Ovis aries: one gene and its partner. The protein of the gene in region 1 purifies or fractionates together with the protein of each later gene. This does not show direct contact. Links are inferred from orthologs where the notes say so. Each region holds a gene or a part of one and is shown on either strand. Other genes may lie near its edges.

Region 1 (7,229 bases):
GCCAGGTTCTCCCGCAGCAGCTCCTCCTGGCGGCCTTCCAGCTCGGCCAGCTTCTGCCAACAACCGCCTAGATCCTCGCGCACGGCTCGGGATGCTTGGGTCCCGAAGAGCTGCCACTGGCGCGCGGCACGCCGCCCGCGCTGGCGCTCCGAGTCCAGGAAGCAGCAGAGGTCGCGCAGCTCGCGGTTCTCGGCCTGTAGGCGCCGGTTGAGCTGCTTGAGCTCGCGGATCTCGCCCAGGTGACCCTGTAGCTGCCGATTCACCTCCTGCATGAGGCGGCCGCGCTGCACCAGAGCCGCCAGGCGCGCCGCCTCCTCCCGCCGCAGGCGCCGAACCAGCTCCTCCTTGCCCAGAGCCGCCATCTCTTCATCCGTCAGCTCCTCCAGGCCACCCGTCTCGGCCTCCATGGCTGCCTAAGCCTCTGGAGCATCGCCTGCCCGCCGCCGCGGCCCAGGAGCCCCACGACTACCTCCCCGGCGCTGGGGCTCAGGCACCCGCTCAGTGGACAAGCTGTGGCGGAGCTAGCGTAGGATGCAGCGCCCGCGAGGGGGCGGGCACGCGGCGGGGCGCGCGCCGGGGCGGGGCCCCATGACGTCAAGGACAAACAGCCAATCCGGGCTAGCGCCCTCGGAAAGGGGCGGGGTCCAGGCTCCCAGAATGAAGCCCTTCCCTGCCCACTTCGGACCGCGGTGTTTCTGATGCTCGCTGACTCTGGGTATCCGTGTCCCCGTCCTCGGTGCCAGTGAGCCCTAAACTAGGCTCTTCGTACCTTCCAGTTCTAAACCGCATCAAGCTCTAGCCCAGGCCTCTCGGCTCCCACTGAGAACCAAGATTCCAGTGTCGACCCGCGACTCTTCCACCCACCCTCTGACAAAATCCAGACGGATCGCCTTTCCATCCTTCCTAGCTTTGCTCGAACTGTAGAGTCTCAACTCACTGAGCATCGCTTTCAGTCCTTGGAAACTGAAGTCCAAACGTCCTGGCTCACATCATCAGCCTACTCTGAGCACAGACCGTTTCCTGTCCGGTGGGAGGGGCATACACGGATCTGTTTGTTCAGTAAACTTTTATTGTGTGTAAGGGCTATGCAGAAATAAACTTGAGTCATATCCTTATACTGTCCTTAAAGAGGTCTTGATCTGGCAGAGGCGACAAGCTGCGATGAAGAAGCAAATGGAGGAAGACCACATTTTGAGGGGCTGCCCCCACCCACAAAGTGCGTGCTAAGTCGCCTCAGACGTGTCAGATTCTGCGACTCTACGGACTGTAGCCTGGCAGGCTCCTCTGTCCATGGGGATTCTCGAGGCAAGAATACTGGAGTGGGTGCCATGCCCTCCTTCAGGGGAGCCTCCCGACCTAGGGATGGAACCCACATCTCATGTCTCCTGCATTGGCAGGTGGGTTCTAAGGCCACCTGGGAAGCTTTCCCCAAAGAGGTGCTACCTGAGGGAGACCCCGAAAGATGTATAGGACTTTGGCGAGTCATGAGAGAGCTATTTGAGGAAGAGAGAATAGCACGATGAAAGTCTGGGGACTGAAAGAGCCTCCATGCTTTAGGAACAGCGAGAGTAAACTGGTTTTTCGTGTTTGTTTTGGAAAGGCAGTTCTTAGAGAAAGTGGTAAGAGAGGAAGGCAACAATGGCAGTCAGAAGCCAAATTCTTAAGGGCTTTAAATACTAAGATGGAGCATTTACACAGACCAGTAAGGATTTCAGCAGGGGAGTAACATTTTTGAAAATACATTTTTAAAAAAGGTTGATTGGGCTGCTCTGTGTGGGATGGACCACAGGGAGGGGATGGACCACAGGGAGGGGATGTAGGCAGAAAGATTACTGAGAACAATGTGTCAGTGGGCAAGGAGAGCTATGCAGGACTGGGCTTGGACACGGCAGTGGGGGTGGAGAGGACAAAACAGATACTAGAAATATTCAGGAGGCAAATCAGGAGACTTGAATGTGGAGAGAGAAGAGTCTGGGAGAAAGCCCAGGTTTCTGGTATGAGAACAGGGTGGATGTAGGGGCTGTTCCTGAGATAGGAACCCGGTTGGGGGTGGGGTGCGAGGTGTGTGTGTGGGGTGGTGGGAACAGATCAGGAAACCAACAGGTCTGGCTGCGGGGAACAGAGTGGAAAGAGTTACAGATTGGTGGCCGTCTGGATGTGGACTTCCAGACAGAGCTCTAAGCTGTATCAGGGAGATCACTAGTTGGAGGGGTGGCGGTGGGGCAGTTGGCTTAAAACCATGGGAGTAGGTACCCCATGTTCAGGAGAGGGGCTCATCTGCAGGATGGACTCAGGGGCCCTCAGTAAGGGCCCTTGAAGACGGGCCAGACAACTTTTTTTGCATAAAAAAGATTCAGGATAGAGCCCTGTTGTTTAGTCCCTCAGTCGTGTCCTACTCTTTCACGACCCCAAGGACTGCCCAGGCAAGAATACTGGAGTGGGTAGCTATTTCCTTCTCCAGGGGATCTTCCCGATCCAAGGGTCGAACTAGCATCTCCTGTATTGGCGGGTGGATTCTTTATCGCTGAGCCACCAAGGAACCCCATAGAGCCCTGTGGAGCTCCTACATTCAGGATACAGGTCAAAGTAGTGGGGCTCCCCGCAAAAGGGCACAGAACAACCAGGAGGATTTGAGGGTGAAGGTTGCCGGCATAGGGGCAACTAGCCAGAGGCCTTGGCTCTGGATGCCCTCCTGCAAACCCGGCCGGCGTGAGGGTGGGGTGGGCTGGGCTGGGCTGAGCTGGGCTTGGAACCGAGGAACCCGAGACTCCCCCTCCCGCTGGGAGGAGGGGCTACCCAACCGTCTCCGCCTCAGCCTCTTTCCTCGCGGCTCCTGCCCAGACTAGCTCTGTCCCGGAAGTGGTCCTCTTCTGGCTCCGGGTGCCGGGAGACGAATGTCAGTGCTCCCGGAAGTGGCCCGGCGGCGGCGCGCCGGGCCCGGGCAGTGCTCGCTCCTGCTGGGGCGCTGCGGTAGCGCCCGGGTCCGGGCGTCGCCATGACCAGCGAGCTGGACATCTTCGTGGGGAACACGACCCTCATCGACGAGGACGTGTATCGCCTTTGGCTGGACGGTTATTCGGGTCTGTGGGGGGCTGACTGGGGTAGCCAGTCTGGCGGAGCGGTTGTTTTGGATGGGAGAGGGGGCCGAACCAGGACTAGGCATCCTATAGGGCAGTGGGCAGAGGCCTGGGAGTATGAAATGCCTGGGGCTCGGGGCTGAAATCCCTGAAGAACCTCTAGGGCCGGCGGGGCGGGGCCTGATGCCAGCGCTCGCTTCCCAGTGAGCGACGCGGTGGCTCTGAGGGTGCGCTCGGGAATTCTGGAGCAGACCGGCGCCACAGCAGCGGTGCTGCAGAGCGACACCATGGACCACTACCGGACTTTCCACATGCTCGAGCGCCTGCTCCACGCGCCGCCCAAGCTGCTTCACCAGCTTATTTTCCAGATCCCGCCCTCTCGACAGGCGCTGCTCATTGAGAGGTGCTCACCTGGCGGGTGGTGGGGATGCCGACCAGTCTGACCATGTATCCATTTTGCAGGCTGTCGAGGAGGCCCGGGGACGGGCGGGACTTACCCAAGCCGGGAGAAAGTTGAGAGCAGAAGGGGCCAAACCCAGGTCCTGCCAGCTCTCCTCTCCCCTCTTTTTATGGAAAGTCAGTAGGGTCGTCCCCAACTCCCCACAGGTATTATGCCTTTGACGAGGCCTTCGTGCGGGAGGTGCTGGGCAAAAAGCTGTCCAAGGGCACCAAGAAAGACCTGGATGATATCAGCACCAAAACAGGCATCACCCTCAAGAGCTGCCGGAGACAGGTGGGCACTGCACCCATCTGCAGCCCGCCCCTCTGTGCCGTCCCTTTGGTTCCTGCCTCACCTCCACCCCACTCCAACACTTCTGTGGCAGTGCCTTCATTTCCACTCTCCTCTCTTTTTGCCCCTTCCAAGCCATCCCCTACTCTTGAGCCAGAGTGACCTCTCAGAAGCCTACATTTTTACCTTAGCTTTCTTCTGCTCACGAACTTTGAATGGCTCCCATTCTTTCCTATAGCAGCCACATTCCTTGGTCTCGACCTTCAGACCCTCCTATCATCCTGTCCCTGCCTCCTTCTCTAGACTCCCCAGCCCCTGGCTTTCTTTTGCTCATCTGCCCCTACCTGTATTATTTTTCCAAGGTATTATTTTAGGACATATATACCCCTTGAAATCTAAGGCAGGGTCAGGGGTTGAGGGGGGTGGTCATATACCACCTTCTCCAAAAGCCTTGCCAGTGGTTCCAGGAAGAAGTAACCCTTCTAGTGGGCCTTTAGCATTTTCCTCTGTGACTCCTTTGAGCTCCCCAAGATGGCTTAGTATTTGCTCTTTTTCGAGTTCCTAGGGCTTAGCCAGGAAGGCCATTTTCAGCACAAACTAGTGAAGAACTAGAGAGCATGATGCTAAAATAGGGGTGAATTTATTGATACGAGTGAGTAAACATTTATCCAAGGCAAGATGGTAGAAGCTGGTGAACATTTGGGGAATTGATAAGAGATATTAATAATTAATGGGGCTTTCCAGGTGGCATATTGGTAAAGAATCCACCTGCCAGTGCAGGAGGTAATAGTTTGTTGAAGCAATAACAAATACTCCATCAGTGTCTGGTGATTGGATAGGTGGGTCAGTGACAGAGGGATGCTCACCAAACAGTTTATTGGGTGAGCAACCTGACCAGTCCTTCCTCCTCCTCTAACTGCCCTGCAGTTTGACAACTTTAAGCGCGTCTTCAAGGTGGTGGAGGAAATGCGGGGCTCCCTGGTGGATAACATCCAGCAGCACTTCCTCCTGTCCGATCGGCTGGCCAGGTGAGGGGCCAACTGCCTCCCCCTCCTGCACACTCCTTCCTTGTGCCCTGAAGCTGACCTTTATTTTCTGCCCCAACCCACATGACCTCCATGCTGTAGGGGGGGCAATGGTTATCCCTCTCTTGGGCTGTACTTTGGTTCAGACTGGCCTGGGTTCAAATCCTAGCCTGGCCATTCACCAGCTGGACTGTTGTGAGGTGCCATGGGTAAAGCTCATGATGGCACAGCCCTTGGGGCTTAGTAAGTACTCAGTAAATGGTCGCTGTTACCCTGTGGTCTCCCACCGTGTCCCTTAGGAGACCCAGGCTGAAACCTTCTCTTTGCCCAGAGGAGGAGGCCCAGAGAGATGTGACTTGAAACCCGTCACACAGTGAGTTAGGGTAGAGAGAGGCCAGAACACGGAGGTCCCGCTGATATTGTAGCTGAGAGCTGCTTGGTAAGAAGGAATTTCAAGCCTTGATGGACACCCCACCCCCCGCTCCCCACCCCGCAGGGACTATGCAGCCATCGTCTTCTTTGCCAACAATCGCTTTGAGACAGGGAAGAAAAAACTGCAGTATCTGAGCTTTGGGGACTTTGCCTTCTGTGCTGAGCTCATGATCCAGAACTGGACCCTCGGAGCCGTCGGTGAGGCCCCCACTGACCCAGGTGCAGGCCCCCGTTCCCAGCAGCCTTTCTTCTTCAGGGCCCCTGCCCAGCCGCTTCTGCTCATGGCCCAGCGCCGCCACACACAGCTTCTCTGCAGACAAGGGACCCACAGCGTCTCTCTGGCTTGGGGCCAGTCCCTCCAGCTCTCTCACACCCAGCGTGCTCTTTTGTCTTGTGGGATGCCATGAAGTGGTAGGGGGGAAGGCTCAGGTTATCACAGGAGGCATTTTTTAATCTCGCACCTCAATTCCCTTCATGGGCCTCACTTAGACTCCCAGGTGGATGACATGGACATGGACTTAGACAAGGAGTTTCTCCAGGACTTGAAGGAGCTCAAGGTGCTTGTGGCTGACAAGGACCTTCTAGACCTGCACAAGAGGTGACCCTAGGGGTCTGTGGGGCAGGGCCTGAGGTGGGCGCCCAGGCGGCGCGGGCCTTGACCCTATCTTCCTTCAGCCTGGTGTGCACTGCCCTCCGGGGGAAGCTTGGTGTCTTTTCGGAGATGGAAGCCAACTTCAAGGTCTGTGGCCCAGTCCAGCCTCTGTCCCTGGGGCATCTTCAGCATCCAGAGCCCTGCCCCACAGTGGCTCTGCTGTTGGCCTTAGGCGGTGCTGCTGTTCCCTCTGCCTGCCCCTGGGGGGAGCCAGCTCTTAAATGCTGGGGAATTACTTGATTGAGGGAGGTGGATAGATTTGGTCTCAGCCCCCAGCCTCTCTCAGACAGCAGGCAGAACTCCCAGGCTCCCTCCCCCACAGAACCTGTCCCGGGGGCTGGTGAATGTGGCCGCCAAGCTGACCCACAATAAGGATGTCAGAGACCTGTTTGTAGACCTCGTGGAGAAGGTGAGTTGTCCTGCTGGCTGCCCTCTGACCCCATCCTGGCCTGTCCCTGGGCTGTACCAGTGCTGGATGTTACCTTGGACCCACAGTTTGTGGAACCCTGCCGCTCCGACCACTGGCCGTTGAATGATGTGCGTCTCTTCCTGAATCAGTATTCGGCTTCGGTCCACTCCCTGGATGGCTTCCGGTGAGAGATCTCAGGCTTCCTTATGTGCTGGCCTCCTGCTGGGGCCCAGCCCTCCTGCAGACTCTGAGTTCCCTGTTCTTTGGCCCTGGGGTTGGAAGTCACTCTGTTGACCAGAGTCTCAGCTCCATCACTGAGAAACTGACCTGATCTTGACAAGTTCCTTTCTCTCTGTGTGCCTCCATTCCTTCAGACATAAGCTGGGGGTGACAGCAGTAAGGCTTATAGGAATCCTATGAGGATTAAACGAGTGATGGTGTTGAGAGCACGTGGAGCAGGGTCATGCGGATCCAGTCAACATCAGCCAACACCCTAACTGTTACCATTGCAGGCACCAGGCGCTCTGGGACCGCTACATGGGCACCCTCCGTGGCTGCCTCCTGCGCCTCTATCATGACTGAGGCCCCTCCCCCCGCCCTGGCCACACTGACAATAAAGTTGCCATGACTTTGGAGGAGGCTGTGAGTGGGTACACGCATGGGTCCGCGCATGGACGTGTGTGCCCGTTGCACACGTACATCTCTTTGAGTGTCACGGTGTATGAGGATGTATGTGTCCGTTGACCCCACAGGGACAAGGACATGTCAGAGAACAGTATCTACTCGCTCCCCATCCATTTCCCCACCCCAGCCGTGTCCACTCCAAAGACAGGGGTCTTGTCTTGCTTTATTCAATCCCCAGCAAGAATACTGGGATACTAGGCAAAAACCTTGGGGCAGGTGG
Region 2 (6,756 bases), on another chromosome or scaffold:
GGGCTGGGAATAAATATTTTTCCTCTCTTGTTTCTCCTCCACCTTTTGTAAAATTTTGGGCAAAGTAGTAAGTGTAGTAAGTGTACATGATAAAAAATTCAAATCCTACAAAAAGACCACATTGTCCAAAATAAAGCTCCCTTCTCCCTTCATTTTCCTTCCCAAGAGGCAAGTGCTCTTAATAGCTATATTGTCTCTCTTTGCAAAGATGTTCTATTTATCCTTTAAAAAAAAAAAAAAAAACACCACAGATATACCTTTACTTTTTAACACGACATATTTGAAGATGGGAGCAGATAGATTCTACATGTATAAGCTCTCTTTGTGGACATTTCATATACAGTTGCTACCAGGGAGTTCCATACTGCCAAGATAATATGAAGGTATAGAGGATAATTTTAGTCATTTTCTTGTTTTCTTTTAGCTTCCCCTCCCTTCTTCCCATCCCCACACAATAAAACTAGGGTCTCTAATGCTGACTGTATTTTCAGTGAGGCTGTGCTGCCCAGGACCTCTGGGAGTCCTGGAACTCCCCTGGGATATGTGAGCCTGGGGTGGGCCACTTACTTTCCCAGCTTGTGCATTGGATCAGCTGTTGCTAGAAATTGAGTGTCAGTTCTGTTTAGTCTTCCTGCTGTAGGTCCTGTCTCCTCCTGGGCTTCCAGTACCCCTCAGGATTCTGAGGACACAGGAGGACACTCCCTTGAAAACTTCACGATGGTCAGGGCACACCCAGTGTAATCCCCCCACAAGTCTTTTTGTGAACTTCTCCTCGTGATCCCTTTTATTGACAGCTGTGTATCGTAAGAGGAATGTTGATCACTGTACTCTCTCCAGTATTAGCTCGTGGTCACTAGCCTTAGGAAAAAGGAGGTGGAGTGGGGACGGGAGATATGTCATTGCCCCCCAGTTGGCAGAAACATTCTGTATAAATCTGATTTTTGAAAATTACAACTTATACAAATTCAAGAATATTACCCCCCAAATCACCATATGACACAGAGACAAAAATATTATATATTTACTTATTTACTTAGTTTATAATTTTTTTAAAAATGGCTGACCAAATTATTCTTAGTGTTTTTATGAGTTATTTCCATCTTGGCAACACTATATCCTCAGTTATGAGATTCTTAGAAATAGAAATTCAAATATGCTAGTGTGGGTAGAGCCTGAAAATTAGAAATAGATGATGAAGATTTTTTTTTAATGTAGTGCTGTTTGAATTTGTACAGTTCCTTAAATATCTGTGATAAAAATATAAACTTTCAGGAAGAATTCAAGATGTTGCTTGTGTGAGCTTACTAGAAAGGAGGTTATAGTTTGGGATTCCTAGTTATTTCTGTGAAAAGTAGTCACCTTTTAGTTCCATAAAGTCATGATAGTTTCAGAGGAAGCTGTTGAAAGGGAAAGCTTTGAATGAGGGCATTGGTGGTAAGGTGGGTGGGGCGGGGCTCATGTATGGTGTGCGTTTATCTGTGAGACGCAGGTCACCGCTTTGTCTGTAGCTCTTAATCTTACTGGCTTTCCCCCCCCACACATTTACCTTCCCGCTTCATTTCAGATTTTCTTCCCAGTACATTGACCCTTTTCTCTGTTCAGATTTCCCACATTCTGCTTCCCTCCCACTAACATTTGTTACTGTGTGGATATTTTCTAACATGTAGAGTTTCTGGAACTTTCTTTGTGTTATAATAACAAGTAATCTTTCTTGACATGGTGTTTATTAACCGAGCTAGTTTTCATATATCAATAGAAACTGCCATTTTAAACCTAGGTACTTTGATTTGGTTTGCTTTTATAATGAGGCCATAAAAATTTTCTCCTATTCATCTGGTTTTTAGAGAGTATTAACCAAGAGCAAAGAGATACTGGCTTGTACTTAGCATCCAAGCTAATGTTGTTCATATTGTCTTACTAGAACACCTGGAGAGTGCAAGTTCTAACTCAGGTATACCAGCTGCACAGAGAGGTGAGTTTGTCTAATTAAGCAAATAGTCACCAAAGGTGTGAAATTCTAGCGTGGTGGAGCATAAGCATACAGACATTGAAGAAATGCACTGGACAATGGAATAGACACCAAAATGTGGCTTTATTGTAGTTAGATTGTGTAATTCAAATATTATTTATGCCATCTAGCATTTTAATAGTGTCCCAGTTTCTAAAGATAAGACTTCAGCTTTTAATATTATTTTTTAGCTCAACAGTAGTAAAAGATACTCTTTTGAAAAGAACTTGTTGGGCTCACACTTGATCCTCACTCCATGTTAATAGAAGCTTTGTTGCCAAAATCAGATGTGGAAATAGGATATTGATAAAAATGACCCTTTGGCTTCCTTGTTACTACTGGTAGAAAGAAGATATTTTGCAAAAGATAAGTTAACTAGTGATTTTTTTTTTCATGTATCCTTTAACATTTGATTCTCATTTATTTATTTATTCATTTTTTTTTAAGTTTCAGAGCAAAAATAGGTCAAGGAATTATTCACTAAGTTCTGATTGTAAATTAAAGTCCTAAGTATAAACAGCTAAAACAGTGTAAAATAAAAACAAAGGAAAGGAAGTTAGTTAAAACGCAGCACGTGACCCTTTCCTTGATCTTGGTAGACCCGCTTCTGTTCCCTCCAAGAGACCACACAGCTCTGACATCACCAGAGATGCTCAGCCAACCGACAAGTTGGTTTTGGACAAATCAGTGTCTAAAGCTTGATTCTTTACTATCTCTCTCACCTGACTTGAAAAGGACCACCTTTCCCCCTAAGTTACAGTTAAATTACATCATCGAGAGGAGTGTTGTGACGAGTAAGAGACGTCATCCATATTTTTTCTTTGTTTTTTCTTTTGTTTTCTGTCTGTGTTTTCAGCAACGTCAGTTGATTACAGTTCCTTTGCAGACAGATGCAGCAGCTGGATAGAGCTCATTAAACTGAAAGCTCAGACCATAAGGCGCGGATCAATTAAGACAAGTAGGCGGATGTTTCTACCACGTTGTGATTTGAGAAGCATATCCTTGATTTCCCAGTGGTGAAGGCTGGCCCTGACTACTCAGTAATAACATTGCCAATCAATCATGTGTTGGAGTGTGAAAGCTGCAGATGCTAACCGTCATTTAGCAAAAGCTTTTGAAGGGCCTTTAGATGTTTAAATTGCAGCTGCAGGGTTGTGTTTTTAGGATTTTATTTTGGTGAAGGTATTCTTAGACGTGTATAAATAGATATTAGGTCACATAGTGGAAGGAAATAAATGAGCTTTTATTGAAGAGACTCGGTGGTATATGGTATCCGTCAGATGACTAAGAGTAATGTCTAGAGTGAGAACAGAAGGTATCTCCAGAGAGAAAGTGGCCAGCTCTTATCTCACTGCTAGACTCAGCAGCAGGACTAAGATTTTTTTTTTTTTTAAATCTATACTCCATGTGTTTTAGTAGACTTTGAGGTAAATGTATTTGAGTGGAAGAGTTGACATTAAAGGGAAGGAACTGTATTTAGGGGGAAGCCCACAGGCTATGGAATCAACCAGGTCTGGTTTTGAATCCTAAAAGTGCCATTTTAATGCCTGTGTGACCTTGGCAAGTTATTTAAGTTTTGTGAGCCTCAGTTACCTCATGCGTTATATGGGGATGATAACACCTATGTCGCTGCATTGTGAGAATTATAGACACACACACGTGTGTGTTTGGTTCATGGTAGTTATTTGATAAGCAGTAGGTATTTGTTATTTTATGAACAATTAACTTTTAGACAGCCAAGGTCATTTGTTAAATTTTTTAAATTACAACTTTGATTGAGAAGGTTTGGGAAAAAAACCTGCTACAACTAGTTAAGATAAGGTTTATCTACAAGTTGACAATGATGAAGTCGTCTGAAAAAAAGATGGAAAACACTGCCCTGGGAAATGGAACAACTTTCACACTCTCGTAATAATTTGTTCCTACAGCAGATTTTTTAATGCTCTACCGCTTTTTCTTTGTCTTCACTTTATAACGATCACTGTGTGTGTAGCTACACCGCATCAACATTTTCTTTTGCAGGAATGCCATTTTTCTTCCCAAAGATTCCATTCCAGCATTTCCGCTTACGTTTTTCTTTCTCTCTCTTTGTAATTGCATGCAGTGCATGGTAATTTCTTTTCTTTCATGACATGGCTTAGCCTCACAGACAGCTGAATGTTGTCACCACTTATTTGGAAACACTAGGGAATCATTGAGTCACCAACTTGTGATCTTGATGCTTTCTCTTCTCTTTCCAATTTTAGCAGTGACAGTTGAAAAAGCAAGTCCAATGGGTGAAGGAAACTTCCGGAATCGTTCTGCTCCACCTTGTGCAAATTCTACCGTTGGGGTTGTTAAGATGACACCTCTTTCTTTCATTCCTGGAGCAAAAATAACAAAATATCTTGGTATAATTAACATGTTTTTTATTCGGGAAACCACTTCTCTACGTGAGGTAACTTTATAGTTGTTATTTCATTGTGTTTGTGAATTTTTGGTGGTTGAAAGTATTAGTATCAAAACCAGACATGTTTCAAATTGTTTGGTTTTTTTTTGCCAAAAGTAACACACACACGCACACGCACACGCACACTTTTTTCCATAGCCTGTCTGGATTGGCTGTAGATGAGGCTCAGATGGTAAAAGTGTCTGCCAGCAATGTGGGAGACCCGGGTTCGATTCCTGGGTCGGGAATATGCCCTGGAGAAGGAAATGGCAACCCCACTCTAATATTCTTGCCTGGAAAATCCCATGGACAGAGGAGCCTGGTAGGCTATAGTCCATGGGGTTGCAAAGAGTTGGACGTGACTGAGCGACTTCACTTTCGCTTTCAGTATTATCACAAGAGTTGTGTTGGGTTTAAATTCATTTGTTATTAGAAGTTACAGATCCTTATCAGATGGTAAATTTAAAAAAAAATAAATGTATCCATGTTTGATAGAGGTTTAAAACAGCCCTGAGCTTAGTTTCTCTGTAGGTATTTGCCTGAGATGGATTTAAATGGCAATTTTTAAGAGTCCACATTAAGAAATAGTAGGGGACTGTATCCTGAATGGATGTCTTTGGAGATTTTTTTTATATCATTTGGTTCTGTCGTTTTCTCCTGACAAAGAAGGAGGCTGCTTGTTTTCTCCTCTAGCCATCAGTGTTACTTGTTCAAGTGCCTACCTCACAATGGGTATCATTAAACTTTAATTTGTTTTTTAAGTAACAGCAGTTATAATCTCTTGCTTGGTGAGGTCAGAATTAAGAATCAGAGTCAGCCTATTATATCTTGCATTACAGAGGAATTTAAACTCAGGAAAAGATGATATTTCTATTTGTCTTATGTTTCTTGAGCAGGGCTGCTAAGCAAATTAATATAGTGAGTAGGGAAAATTTTTAATTATTTAAGTGTGAAACCCAATAAACTCTTCAAAATTGACTTTAGCAGAAGTTCGTATTTTTTTAAAGTGTGTTAATTATAAACACAACTTAATTGTGTTTTTTTCCCCCCGTTGTTTCACCAGCAGTGTTTCTATGCCTTCTTGGAAATAGCAGCCTGCTTACTAACCTCAGCCTCACCCTCCTGCACCTAGCATAGTGCCTGGTGCAGAGGAACCACAAGCCGTTTTTGTGTAAATGAGGGAGTGAATTCTGACAGATTAATTAATTAGATAAATGTTTCCTTTAAGAAAAATTATTTTTGTAATCATATTCTAATTGTGTTGAGATGGAAAAGAAACTATCTCAAGATATTCTAAAAAACCTTTTAATGTAGAATTAAAATGGGCAACACTTTTAGATCCATTGAGGTTTGACAAAGAAATCTGGGTTTGAGAAGCTGTCATAGATTGGTGAATTAACCTTTTCCAGTTGCACATGGATATTATACTGTCAAATCCATAAAATTTTCTTTCCAAAGTGTCTTTTCAACTGCTGAAGCAACCATACCCTGAAATGTTGCTTCACAGATTTCCTTTCAACAGAGATTTATAATACCAGCTATAATGTAGTTAATAGTATAATATGTAGTATATGCATGCATGTGGGCTAAGTTGCTTCAGTTGTGTCTGGCTGTTTGCAGCCCCATGACTGTAGCCCACCAGGCGTCTCTGAAGATGAGACTCTCAAGGAAAGAATACTGGAGTGGGTTGCCATACTCTACAGGGGATCTTCCTGACCCAGGGATTGAACCCACGTCTCTTATGACTCCTGCCTTGGCAGGTGGGTTCTTGACCACTAGTACTACCTGAGAAGCCTGTACATAGTTTAATACCTGAAATCTGTTCATTCCTTGTTATTTGCTTTCAGTTATGTAATATTAGAATTTACCCCTGTAGTGTCTGTTACTCTAAAATTTTTTGACTTGATATGTAAGAGGAAAACTGATTAAAGCAGAAGAGAAGACTGTCCTGGACTGTGATTGAGTCAGAGGCAGGCTTGAAGCAACTCCTTTAATTCCTTAATTTCAAACTTTATGTAGGAGCCTGTAGCTTTTCAGAAAGATGTGACCTAGACAAATGCTTTTTCTAACAGTGTATTAAATTTTGCCCTTCCAATTTAAAGTTGGAAATTTCTTCCTAGACTGTAAAAAACCTTCAGTAAAATTTGTGGAAAATTTAGATTGTAAAGCATTTTGAGCTATCAGCTGGCCTTTGGTTTCTGTCTTGTTTGGCTTTGAACACTGCAAAAGTTCCCCAAACTGTTGGGTTTCTTTCCATGACAAATATGTGCAGATCACTGGGCACAGGCGCCTGTTGAAATAGGTGTTAGTGTATATGGCT

The links.
Region 2: the proteins of FIBP (region 1) and C2CD5 purify together in Homo sapiens (affinity purification with mass spectrometry; 3 studies listed by BioGRID and IntAct, counting the BioPlex papers as one, with this or other methods). This does not show direct contact. The link is inferred for Ovis aries from reciprocal best matches to the Homo sapiens genes FIBP and C2CD5.

Annotation. Positions count from the first base shown.
Region 1 is NC_056074.1:40,435,052-40,442,280, reverse strand, and holds FIBP (acidic fibroblast growth factor intracellular-binding protein), read left to right. Parts: upstream 1-2,899; 5' UTR 2,900-2,995; coding exon 2,996-3,080; intron 3,081-3,281; coding exon 3,282-3,480; intron 3,481-3,683; coding exon 3,684-3,810; intron 3,811-4,734; coding exon 4,735-4,835; intron 4,836-5,328; coding exon 5,329-5,483; intron 5,484-5,753; coding exon 5,754-5,862; intron 5,863-5,939; coding exon 5,940-6,003; intron 6,004-6,238; coding exon 6,239-6,325; intron 6,326-6,411; coding exon 6,412-6,509; intron 6,510-6,699; coding exon of another isoform or gene 6,700-6,745; exon of another isoform or gene 6,746-6,837; coding exon 6,838-6,907; 3' UTR 6,908-6,958; downstream 6,959-7,229. Other genes in the region: CCDC85B (coiled-coil domain-containing protein 85B), read right to left, coding at 1-407. UniProt on the Homo sapiens protein: May be involved in mitogenic function of FGF1. May mediate with IER2 FGF-signaling in the establishment of laterality in the embryo.
Region 2 is NC_056056.1:193,329,839-193,336,594, forward strand, and holds part of C2CD5 (C2 domain-containing protein 5), read left to right. Parts: intron 1-1,921; coding exon 1,922-1,972; intron 1,973-2,864; coding exon 2,865-2,966; intron 2,967-4,254; coding exon 4,255-4,445; intron 4,446-6,756. UniProt on the Homo sapiens protein: Required for insulin-stimulated glucose transport and glucose transporter SLC2A4/GLUT4 translocation from intracellular glucose storage vesicle (GSV) to the plasma membrane (PM) in adipocytes.